Bombyx mori: one gene and its partners. The protein of the gene in region 1 purifies or fractionates together with the protein of each later gene. This does not show direct contact. Links are inferred from orthologs where the notes say so. Each region holds a gene or a part of one and is shown on either strand. Other genes may lie near its edges. The genes, in order: ATP-dependent RNA helicase me31b, putative leucine-rich repeat-containing protein DDB_G0290503 and protein LSM14 homolog car-1.

What was found.
Region 2: the proteins of ATP-dependent RNA helicase me31b (region 1) and putative leucine-rich repeat-containing protein DDB_G0290503 purify together in Drosophila melanogaster (affinity purification with western blotting; 5 studies listed by BioGRID). This does not show direct contact. The link is inferred for Bombyx mori from reciprocal best matches to the Drosophila melanogaster genes me31B and Patr-1.
Region 3: the proteins of ATP-dependent RNA helicase me31b (region 1) and protein LSM14 homolog car-1 purify together in Drosophila melanogaster (affinity purification with western blotting; 6 studies listed by BioGRID, with this or other methods). This does not show direct contact. The link is inferred for Bombyx mori from reciprocal best matches to the Drosophila melanogaster genes me31B and tral.

What each region holds. Positions count from the first base shown.
Region 1 is NC_085118.1:10,825,160-10,829,388, forward strand, and holds the start of ATP-dependent RNA helicase me31b, read left to right. Parts: upstream 1-1,429; 5' UTR 1,430-1,590; exon of another isoform or gene 1,591-1,785; intron 1,786-1,987; 5' UTR 1,988-2,145; coding exon 2,146-2,210; intron 2,211-2,303; coding exon 2,304-2,385; intron 2,386-3,201; coding exon 3,202-3,408; intron 3,409-3,580; coding exon 3,581-3,752; intron 3,753-3,830; coding exon 3,831-3,981; intron 3,982-4,120; coding exon 4,121-4,229. UniProt on the Drosophila melanogaster protein: ATP-dependent RNA helicase which is a core component of a variety of ribonucleoprotein complexes (RNPs) that play critical roles in translational repression and mRNA decapping during embryogenesis, oogenesis, neurogenesis and neurotransmission.
Region 2 is NC_085129.1:17,684,595-17,688,798, reverse strand, and holds the start of putative leucine-rich repeat-containing protein DDB_G0290503, read left to right. Parts: upstream 1-1,328; 5' UTR 1,329-1,447; coding exon 1,448-1,486; intron 1,487-4,180; coding exon 4,181-4,204.
Region 3 is NC_085117.1:9,020,359-9,024,668, forward strand, and holds the start of protein LSM14 homolog car-1, read left to right. Parts: upstream 1-1,337; 5' UTR 1,338-1,520; coding exon 1,521-1,641; intron 1,642-2,874; coding exon 2,875-3,288; intron 3,289-3,852; coding exon 3,853-3,962; intron 3,963-4,310.

The DNA of each region.
Region 1 (4,229 bases):
CCTACTATATAGGTCTATGTAACTTAACCACTATCTTAACATACTTTTGTACTATGTTATGACAATTGACAATAAGACATTGACAGTGACAGTAGTTTTATTTTTCCAAATGAAAAGGCAAATGTGTCATACCATACAACCTAATTCTTTATATATATATTTTAATAGATGAAAAATGATAATATGAAGTGAAATAAAATGAAGTTAATTAATTAATATGAAACATGAAATGAAATGAAATGAAATGAGATGAGATGAGATGATATGGGATGAAATATACATCTCAGTAAAATGGTGGCCATTTACTGAAACTATTTCAGTGGACTTTTTGGAGGATCCCGAGAAGTTATGTCCATAGGCTTTGTTTTATTTTCCTACATTTGTGCACTTTCACAAATACTAAGCAGTTAGTAAACCACCGTTATTACGCATTTAAGCCCGAAGAAACACTAAATAGGCAAAATAAAGCAAATCCCGCAAGTTCACTCAAAGGCGGAAACAGTGCTTTTTGTGTTTGAGAGTAAAATGTTTGGGTGGGTTTACTACCGGTGGGTTTTACTAGTGGTAGGTAGTTCTTGTGAGTCTACACGGGTAGGTATCACTACCTTGCTTATTTCTGTCGTGAAAAAGCTATGCGTTTCGGTTTGAAAGGTGGAGCAGTCATACTGTAATAAATGAGACCTTAGGACTCATATCTTGAGGTAGGTGGTTATATGTACGTTGACTATGTCTATGGGCTCCGGTAATCACTTAACACAAGGTGGGCCGTGAGTTCGTCCTCCCACCAAAGTAAAAAAAATGTAATCATTCTAGAATGAAATGAAATGGAGTAAAATGAGGTATGATTGAAAAATAGCGTGGCTATTGTGTAAAATGAAAAATAACCTCTCAGTGAAATGGCAGGAATTTATTGAGAGTTCAATGGACTTTTTAAAGTGAAAGACTGTTTACACTTTTACAAATGTTGAATTGTAATATGTCATTATTAAACGCTTAAACACGACGAAGCACTAAATTATTAAACCTCGAGATTCTAGTCTTGAGTTTACCTTCCATGTCAAAAGGCATAACTTTTCGTGCCAGAAATAAGTTGGGTAGTACTTAGGACACCTGTGAGCTTATAATACGCCATACCACCAGTGAATTGAAAACTGTTTTATTTAGTCAATTTATAATTTTGCTGTTGTACTAGTGGAATAAAAACATAATAATGCCTGAGAAAGTGCATCAGCATTGAAATAGCTGGTTATGTTAAAAAAATTAATTAGATTTTTTACGAATTCCTATAATTTGATGATTATACTGAAGACATAATTTCTAATTTCATCGCACTTTTCCATTTAAAGCTTAGAAACACTCTAAAGAAAGTCTTGTGTAGGTAACGTTCTTTTTACTAGGTGGACACAATAGATAGACCAGAAAAATGTTTATGGTTTTAAATATTTTCAAGAAATCAAGGGAGCCAACATAGGCAACAAGCAACATACAGAAATAGAAAATAAAAGTGTATTATTGTCTTTGGTTGAGTAAACTCTTGTGATGTCGTCGTTGAGTATCGAGTGTCGTCACCTTTTTTAAATTTTTATCTAGGTAATTAACAACAATATTTTATAACAGTATTAATCTCAAAGTTGGAAGTGTTTTAGTTTATTAATTTTTAGGTCTTTTCCTCACAAACAAAGTAAAATTAAACGAAGCGATGGCGGCCATATTAAAAAAACATAACTGAGTTCAGTTTACAATCTTTTGTTATCTTTTCAATCTCTCCTTTTCATTTAACTTTTGGTAAACATTAATTTATTATAATACTTCTATATACTGAGCTCATTATTAGTTCTAATAACTTATCGAGTAATCACTTCATAACGGGATTTATTTACTTTGTCATATAGCTTGTTGACGCGTCTCGTAATCTTCGTTTTCAAAAGACCGAAACGGGTTTTCTAATATACTTATCTAATATAAAAATATGTTCCTCTTGTTTCAGCTATTCTGAAATACTTGGTGAACGTGATAAACTGACTAATATACGTGTCTAAAAGTGATTTAGAGAATTTATTTAGTGTTGGACTTGGACAAATAATAATTAGTGTGATTATAAGTTTCTAATTTTAGTCGTCCCTAGCTAGGGATAAATTTGGCAAAATGATGACCGAAAATAGAATTAGTTCAAGTAATCACGTCGGAAATAGTATCAGTCAAACTAAAGGGTAAGTATAAATTTAATAAAATGTCCTTTGTCATGCTAACTGCATGTAGAATCACACGAAGCAATATTCTAATCATGTAAACGCATTTTTCAGAGAGGTCGACAAAAGCATCGACGACGTTGGTTGGAAATCAAAATTAAAAATACCCCCAAAAGACAGAAGAATAAAGACTAGTGTAAGTTGGCTTAGTTACTAGAAATTACGGCCCACATACAATAGTCATTGGAATTTAGACAGTCAAAATATAACAATTTAAAAACAACTTTAGAACATTTTGTGGTATTCTACAATTGCATTATTGTTATACACGAATAATCCAGTTATACACTGAAAATTTAAATTTCCAACAAGCTTGCTTGTTTGCTTTTAAACAACAAACAAAAATAAAATTTATGGGGAAGTATAGTTCTTGAATTGTTTTATTCTGTTAAAGTAAAAGAAAAAGTATTTGGTTGATTTAATTATAAGTGATTTTTGTCTTTACAATCTCCAATCTAATACATTGTTGACAAACAGAATTCAATTCTGTTTAAATAGCTCCAATGCTACATTAATTACTACTTTAAACATTTTGTATTTATTTAGGATTTTTTTTATCATAACATGTCTATAATGCAGTTGTAATAAAATTAATCCTATTGTAAAAGAATTTTGTGTCTTTAAGCTACACTATTAATGAATTAGGTGAGTTCTATTGTCTGCCTTAATAGTAATTAATATCAAAGAGTACCTCAGTTCTTGATGCCCACATAGTAATGATGGTATTCCTTATTGATTTTTCAAAACACTTAGCAGCATATATAGTTAGCTTTATTTAATTATGCAATCTCATAAATCCAATGGTATATTCTGATTATTGGAAATATAAAATATTGATTTTTCATTTTTTAGATCATATTTGTGATTGATCATTCTTATAGATCATCATCATACATCATTTTAAGAATATATTTAGATTATAGTGGACATAATAATCAAATTTCGTTTCTAGGATGTCACAGATACTAGAGGCAATGAGTTTGAAGAGTTTTGTTTGAAGCGAGAATTGTTGATGGGTATTTTTGAAAAGGGATGGGAGAAGCCATCTCCTATTCAAGAGGCCTCAATTCCTATTGCCCTAAGTGGAAAAGATGTACTTGCAAGAGCTAAGAATGGAACTGGTAAAACTGGTGCTTATTGTATTCCAGTTTTGGAACAGGTAATTTGTTATATGTAACAATAGTTTTCATTTTTATGTTTTTAATGTATGATGAAATATTTGGATTCCCCTTCACTTTTTATAAGTGAGACAAAACAGAACTGATTAAAAAAAACTATGTTTTAAAACAAGACTGTGTAATTATTGAAATTACAAGAGTGAATTGTTTTAGGTTGATCCTAAAAAGGATACTATACAAGCTTTAATTGTTGTACCAACTAGAGAGTTGGCACTCCAAACATCACAGATTTGTATTGAACTGGCAAAACACACAGACATTCGTGTAATGGTTACTACAGGAGGCACAAACCTTCGAGATGATATAATGCGTATTTATCAAAATGGTAAATATAGATACACAAATTGAAATGGAAATAATTTCAAAATAGAAAATATTCATGGAATATACACTTTATTTCTAGTACAAGTGATTATTGCCACACCTGGGCGTATGATTGATCTCATGGATAAGCAGGTGGCCAAAATGGATCAATGCCGGATGTTAGTTCTTGATGAAGCAGACAAACTTCTTTCACAAGACTTTAAGGGCATGCTGGATATGGTTATTTCAAGGTTAGCGTTTGTTAGTTTCATGTGTAACAAATTCAGTGACCAAGAAATGCTAAATAGTGCTTCTCAAAATAAATGTCATGTGCCATCTCATAATTTCAAATACAGTGTGTGAATTAAAAACATTATTGATGGATTTTAGATTACCTAAGGAACGCCAAATCTTGCTGTTTTCTGCAACTTTCCCTCTGAGTGTAAAACAATTTATGGAAAAGCATTTGAAAGAACCTTATGAAATAAATCTCATGGAA
Region 2 (4,204 bases), on another chromosome or scaffold:
GCGCATCTAACGACTCTTGCCAAGTTACGTGCCGGAGATTATAAGAGGGGCTCACTTAACGGTGATCATTTGTTTAATTAATTATAAATAAATAAAAGACGAACAAACAATTTTCACATTCGAACATTAACGAACAAACGACGAACAAATAATTAAAAATAAAAAAATCCGAAATTAAAAAAAGGGGGCCAAATTTACAGAGCCACATTGTACCTTAATAAGTTTTTTTGAAGGGATTTTATGACCTGGTAACTGAGACCTTTAAGTCATGTCTTATTTTAATTTATTTCATATTTTTATGAAAAATTATATTATGAAGTGAAATGAAATGAAGATGATTAATTTGAGACATTAATCAACTGCGATGAAATTAAATGAAATGAAATGGGATGAAATATAATCTCAGTAGAATGGTAGTCATTTACTAAGATTTTTTTCAGTGGACTTTTTGGAGGATCCCGAGAAGTTACGTCCAGCGGCTTTGTTTTATTTTCCCAAATTTGTGCACTTTCACATAGGTACATTACAAGCAAGCAGACATATTTTGATTAACTCAAGAATATGAAATAATATGACCGATGTGTACAAGGAACTAAATTACGAATAGACGATGAATTACACAGAATTATTAACCCTAATATTACACGATCAATCTACAGATACATTTTTGTTTTGTCGAATATAATTTTAATATTATTATTATTTTAATATTAATCTTTAGTCTATTACCTAGTAAAGTCCCGGAGATATCATTCATTCAATTAAAAGAATTGTAGTGGATTTCCATATTATTGCATACATGCCATAAGGAAGTCACATAGAGCGTTTTGTTTAATGAATTTCAAATTTAAAAATTGCGTCAAAGTGTTTCGTATACACTATATTTTTGCAATACAATAGACGCTAAAAGCAGTAATTGCAGTAAATCTACTGTCATTACACTGCGTTACTGTATGACACAAACAAAGTAGGTTACTTGGAACATAATTTTTTCTTTATTTAAATATAGCTATCGGATTTTGAGAATTTTTGATGTCATTGTTGCCAGCAATAGTTAATTTTATTTTCAAATTACAGTTTCAATTACAAAGTACATTACTAAACTTGGCTCTTTATGTAGGTATTTGAAAAGAGAAGAGGAACTCAATAAAACGAAGTTGATTCTATCGATCAATATCAATTGGGATGAAACAAAATGCGATAAAATTAAATACTGTGTCTAGAGATTTTAGTAAGTACGTTTATTTATATTAAACACAATGATATTTAACAAACCACCGGTAGTTCTATCCGGAAAATCTATTCCATTATCAGCATGTAGTGTAATTAGTCTATGCATTAGTGATAACCTATGATCCGCGCTCAACTGTCATGGCGGCGGCCGCCATTGCGACATATGTGTGTGACAAGTCATGACATTTATGTACAAGATTTATGAAAAAATCCAATGGCAGATTCATTCTTTGGGTTCGATACTTCATTATCGGTGAGTCTAATAACTGACTTAGATAAATAAAAAGTTAAATTGTAGCAGAAAGTGCTACAAATAAAGGCGCGCAAGCATCAGTGCCAACACGCCACACTTCAGTATGCTTATGTTTCTAAGCTAAATGTTTGCTTTTTTATCCTTTAAAGTCACATTAAATAGTTTTTAGACAATTGTTAAAACAAATACAACTTATAATTTGTCTAACTTATAAGTTTTATAATCAAAATAGTCGGAAAATTCGCCAATTTTAACATTTTAACATTGACCGAACTGTCAATCCAATAGCTATAATAGCTTTGTTTATATAAAATTTTGAGTTTTGAGAAAAACATGCCACTGTATTTCTACCTAAGTGCTGTTTATCTAACGAACTCATTGTGAATAAGAAGCATAAACTTGCCCTTATTAAAACAATTAAGTTATCAAAACAAAATTGATGCAAGTTGTGAAATTCAAAATGTTACATTTTATGAAAAGTTTTCATCATCACTGTTATAATACCTTTCACTTTACCACGACAATTTTATTATTGACTCGAAATAAAACAGCGGGTTATCAAGATTTACAGTTTCGTACCTGCAAAACAGAAAAATGTTCTTTATAATATTTTTCACAATATAAACTTTATAATATTTTTTGGAGCTAGAATGGAAAGTTTGCAATACCTTACCATGTTGATTGCCCGGCGCATTTTCCATGCCCAAGCGTAGTTAGTGCCTGTGCAAATCAGAAAAATGTTCCTTATATTTTCTTTCAAAAGAAAGTCGCACAATCGCGCGCTTGCAATACAACAGCTGCCCCATCCTTCATACCAACGCATTACTTTTTCTGGGCAGCAACGTGCAGAGTGGTAGTACCAAACGTGAGGACTGATAAGACATCGTACCGCCAGTAAATGCACAGATCATATTTTTGCGATTTTCGTTTTATTTATTCTTTCAACTTGGAAGTGTTCCTTAACTATGTATTTTATTAGAAAAATTTGTACTTGTGTGCGGGATTTGAACACCGTTGCAGTCTTATCCTGCAATATGAATACAGCGGGTGTCATCTTTTAGACCATAATGACTTCATATTGGATGTCCCAAGGGATTCACCAGAGAACAGGCAGCCGTGATCCCTCAGTGTATTATACCAGTTATATCAGTAGACTATGTTTATTAGCCAGCGTGTAGCGGGCTGTAGAGTGTATTCGAAGCCAGCATGCTTAGGTAGCAGTGAAAGTAGCCACATATGTTTTTTTTAAATGATCCAGTAATTTAAATTTGCCAAATCACCATCTGGCAGGGTTCATCTCCATCTTCTAGAAATGCTGTGCTAACCATAGAATATTGTTGTTTTTGAAATGTATTATTTTGTTTGAGAATGAACTTCACCTGATAAATCTGCTGTCAAAGTGCAACAGTGACCTACATACATAGTGTAAATATAACTTTGTTATTTCTGAAATTGCATTTAAATCTGGCACACATGTAATGTGTGTAAGCATTGTATGGTGTGGTATGGCTCCATATGACACATCCTTTAGTATATTCAATATACATTATTACATAATAATAAAATACAAAATAGCTATGTTCAAATAAATGCATATTATGATGATGGTTGTAGATGGAGATTTAAATTAAAATTAGTTTTCATGAAGAGATAATCGAAAAGTATTAGTTGTCATTTGAGACTGCCATGATCACACATATTCCAGAGTCCTGAACTTGGGCTTGCCTGGTGTCAAGTGGATACCGGAGCCCATAGACATCTATAACGCATTAGCCGCGACCCACCACGAGATATAAGTTCTAAGGTCTCAGTACAGTACAAACCGAAATGCATTGCTGCTTCACGGCTAGAATAGGCAGGGTGGTGGTATCTACCCGTGCAGACTCACAAGACGTCCTACCACCAGCTAACTTAAGTCACAGTCGTTCTTAGACTGATCTGATATCACTTCAAATTGTTGGTAAATCCAATTTGAAACAAATTTAAATTAACAATTGCACCTAATTACATATAACCATTAAGGGGATACTATAAATAATGATAAAACCAAAACAATAATATGTTAATGGTTAAAGAGTTTAAGATTAAAATCCTTTGTTCTTATATTCATATCACAAATGTTGACTAAATTGATTTATTTAATTGACTTCACTTGACAATGTGTGATAACAGAGGACTACCTCATTGATTTCATTGTTGACATTTGAAGCCTTGCAATGTTTTGCATGTTTCATTTTATTGCATTTTCGAATCTCATTGTTCTAGTTCATGAATTTTGTAACATTGATCTCATATGTGACTCCTAATTCAAAGTAGTATTATGTAAAAATTATATTGTACTCGAAGTTAGTCTAAACATTGGCTCGCTTCCCTATTCATGGACCATATGGTATTTGTTTCTTTTAGTCAAACATGTAATTAAAAGAAAGATACATCAACGCTTATGTTATAAAGTTTTTAATGTCGTAATATAATCTAAAATAATTATGAATTGTTGCTAGTCACTCTACAAGCTCTTTTTTTTTTACTTTACTACTCCGGATACAAATTGTTGAGCATCTACAATTTCATTCAAATGACCAGCTAAAAGGCTTAAACATTAGAAATGCAGTACTAGTATATTAACTAGCGACAATAAGATGTCCTAAAACTAGTTCAACCAGTGTATTTGATACACAGTTTTATTTATTTCAGAACTTAAATGACGACGAAGGTTGC
Region 3 (4,310 bases), on another chromosome or scaffold:
TTTGACAATAATAATCTTTTTTTTTTAGACAGAAAAAATTAAGGGCTCATACAATACAGCCAAAACTTTATGTTATTTTGGGACAACGTTTATTCAGTGTGGTCAGGCCTTACAAGATGGATCGACAACCTGTTGGAATTTTGTTATGGAATCCGTTAGATACAGGTAGTCTGATCATTATGGTGAACCTTGGCTTATGTCTAGCCGTGTATATGTGTGAGCTAATGATGATTTGAAATCAAGTCTTGCTAGTTATGTAAAAAGTAAAAGTTAGCGAAATTAAAAATAAGTTGAATATCAGAACTAGACTATAGGATAAAATTGAATGAAATGAGGTAAACTGAATTAAAGTTGATTAATTGGGAATTCAGAGAATTCAATTAACTTTTTGGAAGAAGAGAAGCCACTTTTTGAGATTTTGTTTTAATTCCCATACTTAGTCTTGAGCATTTTCACAGATGCTAAATGGTTAGTCATTAACCATTATTTTAAGCTTAAGCCTGTAGAAGCCCTAGCAAAATAGTACAATTACTTAACTTTTTTTATTGTCCTCGCAGGTAGACGAGCATACGGCCCACCTGATGGTGAGTGGTTACCGTCACTCATGGACTTCAGCAATGCCAGGGGCAGATCCAAGCCGCTGCCTACCGTTGAGTACTCTCCACAAGCCTTGAAGAAGGATATGTCATAGTGCTCGGGAAACACCGTAGAGGAGAGCTCATTCCAAAGACGGAGGGTACGTGCCAGAAAAGATCTCTGGCAGCGCACTGTGGATGAACACAGTGGCTCCAGGTAGTATGAATGAATTCTACTCCAGTGGCGGCAAGTGCGATGGTAAAAACGAGATGATAGTATCATCTTAAACAATTTCTTCCAGCGCTTTTCAATTTTTTTTTAATTTTAGATACTCCTCCTTTACCAGTCCAATTGCAGAAAAAACATAATGGTCAGTGATAATTATATATATTTAAAGTAGGTACATACTTAAAAACTGTGTAAATAAGCAATATGCGCATTGGTATACCTATAATATACCTATAATTATGTTTATTACTAATACTTAAACCCTATAAATCTATATATTTTTGTATGCCATGGAGTTAATAAGTGCTTACAACTACTAACTTAATGTCGTATACTTTTACCTGTGATCTATACCTTCAATTTCCGTTCTACTCTTGATCTGTGAATGTGAATTTTGGATCTTATAATTTCTACACCTACTACAAACGTTTTACTGGTAGCGAAGAAATGTGAACACGAATTCGGGTGAATTGAATCCACATGATATAATATGGCGCGAAGTCAGCAAATTGTAGTGTATAATCTATGGATCGCCTGTGAGACTATGCGAGTCTGTAATTTATTCGGCAACACTGGCTGTTTGTAAACGCTGCGCTTGTTGCCAACTTCCCGTCAGTCATTTTGTTGTTTGTTCTGATTTATTCGGTGGATAGTTTTTCAGTCTTTGAAATCGTCGAAAATCTTTGTCATCGAAATCGGTCAAGCAAAGTGACATAATGAGTTCTGGAATGCCTGAATTAGGCTCCAAAATAAGCCTAATATCGAAAGCTGACATTCGTTACGAAGGCCGACTTTTTACTGTCGATCCTCAGGAATGTACTATCGCCTTGGCTAGCGGTAAGCTAAAAAATGGATTCTTTCTCTTTAAATTTTTATGTAAACTATTGGTTTGCAGTTAATGTAAACGTGAAATATTGTAATGTCTCTAAAACACCGCGTTTCATCATTAATTCGCCAGAAATCGTAAGTACTCGAGAAAGTGCTAAGATTTTCCCTCCGTATGATCCAAGTTCACCTGTACGAAAATTAAACTTTATAGATAGAAGAAATCGTCATAAGATAAAAAGTTGATTCTTGCAGGACATCATTTTTTTTTCTACCCTCTTTAAATGAAATAGAAATGTGCCTTTGATTGCGTTTACACATTGGTGACGTTGTAAACTGTTCTTGCCGTACACCGTATATAACAATTGTTACATTGAACACGTCGTATGAAACGTCTGAATGACTAGCTATATTTAATAAAAAAAAATGTTATATTGGAATATACACCGTTGACCTTGAAAATCATATGCTAACTACCTTCAATTCTTGTAAGATTAAATATCCGATAATCTATTTTCTAATAAGTTTCATATTAGTCATTTGATTTTGGTCTACCTACTATAAATGTAATGTATGTAACTCAATTTAAATTAATTAAACAATACATCTTTTATCCTCTGGAGAGCTACATTTCCACATATACTGTACAATGCACAGTCTAAAACATGTAATGGGTCCATACTAGATAATATAAAATTTAAATATGTTGGTTTTCTCTTCATAGTCCCATGAGCTTTAATCATAATTCAGAAAAGGGGAATAATTTGAAATGGAAAAATTATTTTTACATTTGATAGTTGTAAATTTAAAATTATTACAAAATCAATCTTGAAGTTTAGTAGTTATTGAAGCTTGAAAAAAGTCAAGCATGAAATACATTTCCAATCATCTTATACAGCTCTTGATGGTGTATTTACAGGCTTGTATATGTTATTTAGCATGCGTAGCTTGATATCCATGGGGTAACCATTATTTGCAATATAATTATGCCTCAAAAATTAGTAAATGTCTATTGTGGATACAGAAATGGATTAGATATGATTTGATAATAGTTGGAATGAATTAGTATATGTATGTTGTTTTATCATGATTGGTTATGGTAAAACAACATACACGGTTGAAGACCAGGACAATGCACAAGAAGATGTATATAAAAAAATTAAATAATAGTATATAGTGTAAAGTTTACGTCATAGTTAATTTTCAAAGAAAACAGATTACTAACTATTGTATTTTTTCTTTTAGTGCGTTCATTTGGCACGGAGGATCGAGAGACTCAATATCCGGTAGCACCTCAAAGCCAAGTATATGACTACATTCTGTTCCGTGGTTCTGACATCAAGGATATCAGGGTGCTAAATAATGTTCCTTCAATGCCCAATGATCCTGCCATTATGCAGATGTCTGTACCCCCAACTCTGGGTACTGGACCAGCTCCTGGGCAGTATGTGGGGCAGTTTAACCATCCAGTTGTTGGACAAACTCCATATCCTCAGTATCATCCAATGGCTGGCTTTCCAAGTGGAGTTCACAACCAGCTCAACAAGACGAGTGAGTTGTCTCCTCAACAATCTGTGGAACTGGCATCACAAGCTCAGCCTGTAACGGCTCCAATTGGTTCTGGAGTGAACCACCACTCCAACCAAGTGAAAGACCAAGGTTTATTTTTAATGAGCATTCAGCTTGAGCTTCAACATTACTGCTTATTATATAAACACAAAGCATATCATCTGTAGCTAACATAATAAATTTTGGTAGCATCTTGATGTGAACAAAATTGTGACACAGTAATACTAATAAGGTCAACAAATTATTCAAAAGAATTGTTCTATGCTTCTCTAAATAAAACTAAACTTTACATAAAGGTTCTACTGTGTAGATCATACTTTCTAAATGGCCTTTTATAGTCTGGCATTAACGTCAGAGAGCTTATAAATGTTTTATGGTTCAATAAGTATAGCATATTAATTTAATTGTTAAATTTAAACCTTTATATTCCTTAAGTCTACCATGATTTTCAATGTAAATAACAAAATTGCTTTTAAAAGCTTCTGCTCCTTGGTCTGTTACTTGTAAAAATGTTTGTGTATACTTGTAATTTGTTGTATCTACATAATCTGTGTAATCATCACAATATGCATAGACTTCATTAACTAGCTTTGCTTTAATATTTAAATTACATTCTATTTAATTAAAAGCTTTAGTGTGAAACAATTATTACAGGCTCAATGCTTGACCTCATTGGTGGAGGATCCCAACAAAATGCATCTCGGTCAGGTACACCTGCTGTCGGTGTTCATAGGAAAAGTCCAACAGCTGACCAAAGCATTCAGGTGAGTTATTTATTACAAACACCAGTCTTAAATAAATAAAAAACAATCAAGTTATAGTATATATAATTGGTAATCCTATGCAGTGTGGTTGGTCTAGAAACTAACAAATATCAAGGCAAAAATCACAGTAAAGGATATTATGTGGATCCAAACTAGGACCATGGGAACCAAAGATAATTTAAATTGATGATATAATATGTAGATATTAAACATCCAGGTCAAGAATAAACAAATCTGTTTGAGGTTGAATCATCAATGAAGAACATACCCTGCCATTGTGTCACACAAATAGACACAATATAGCACTGAAATATACACACTAGATGTTTTAAAAAGGAAAAAAAACAT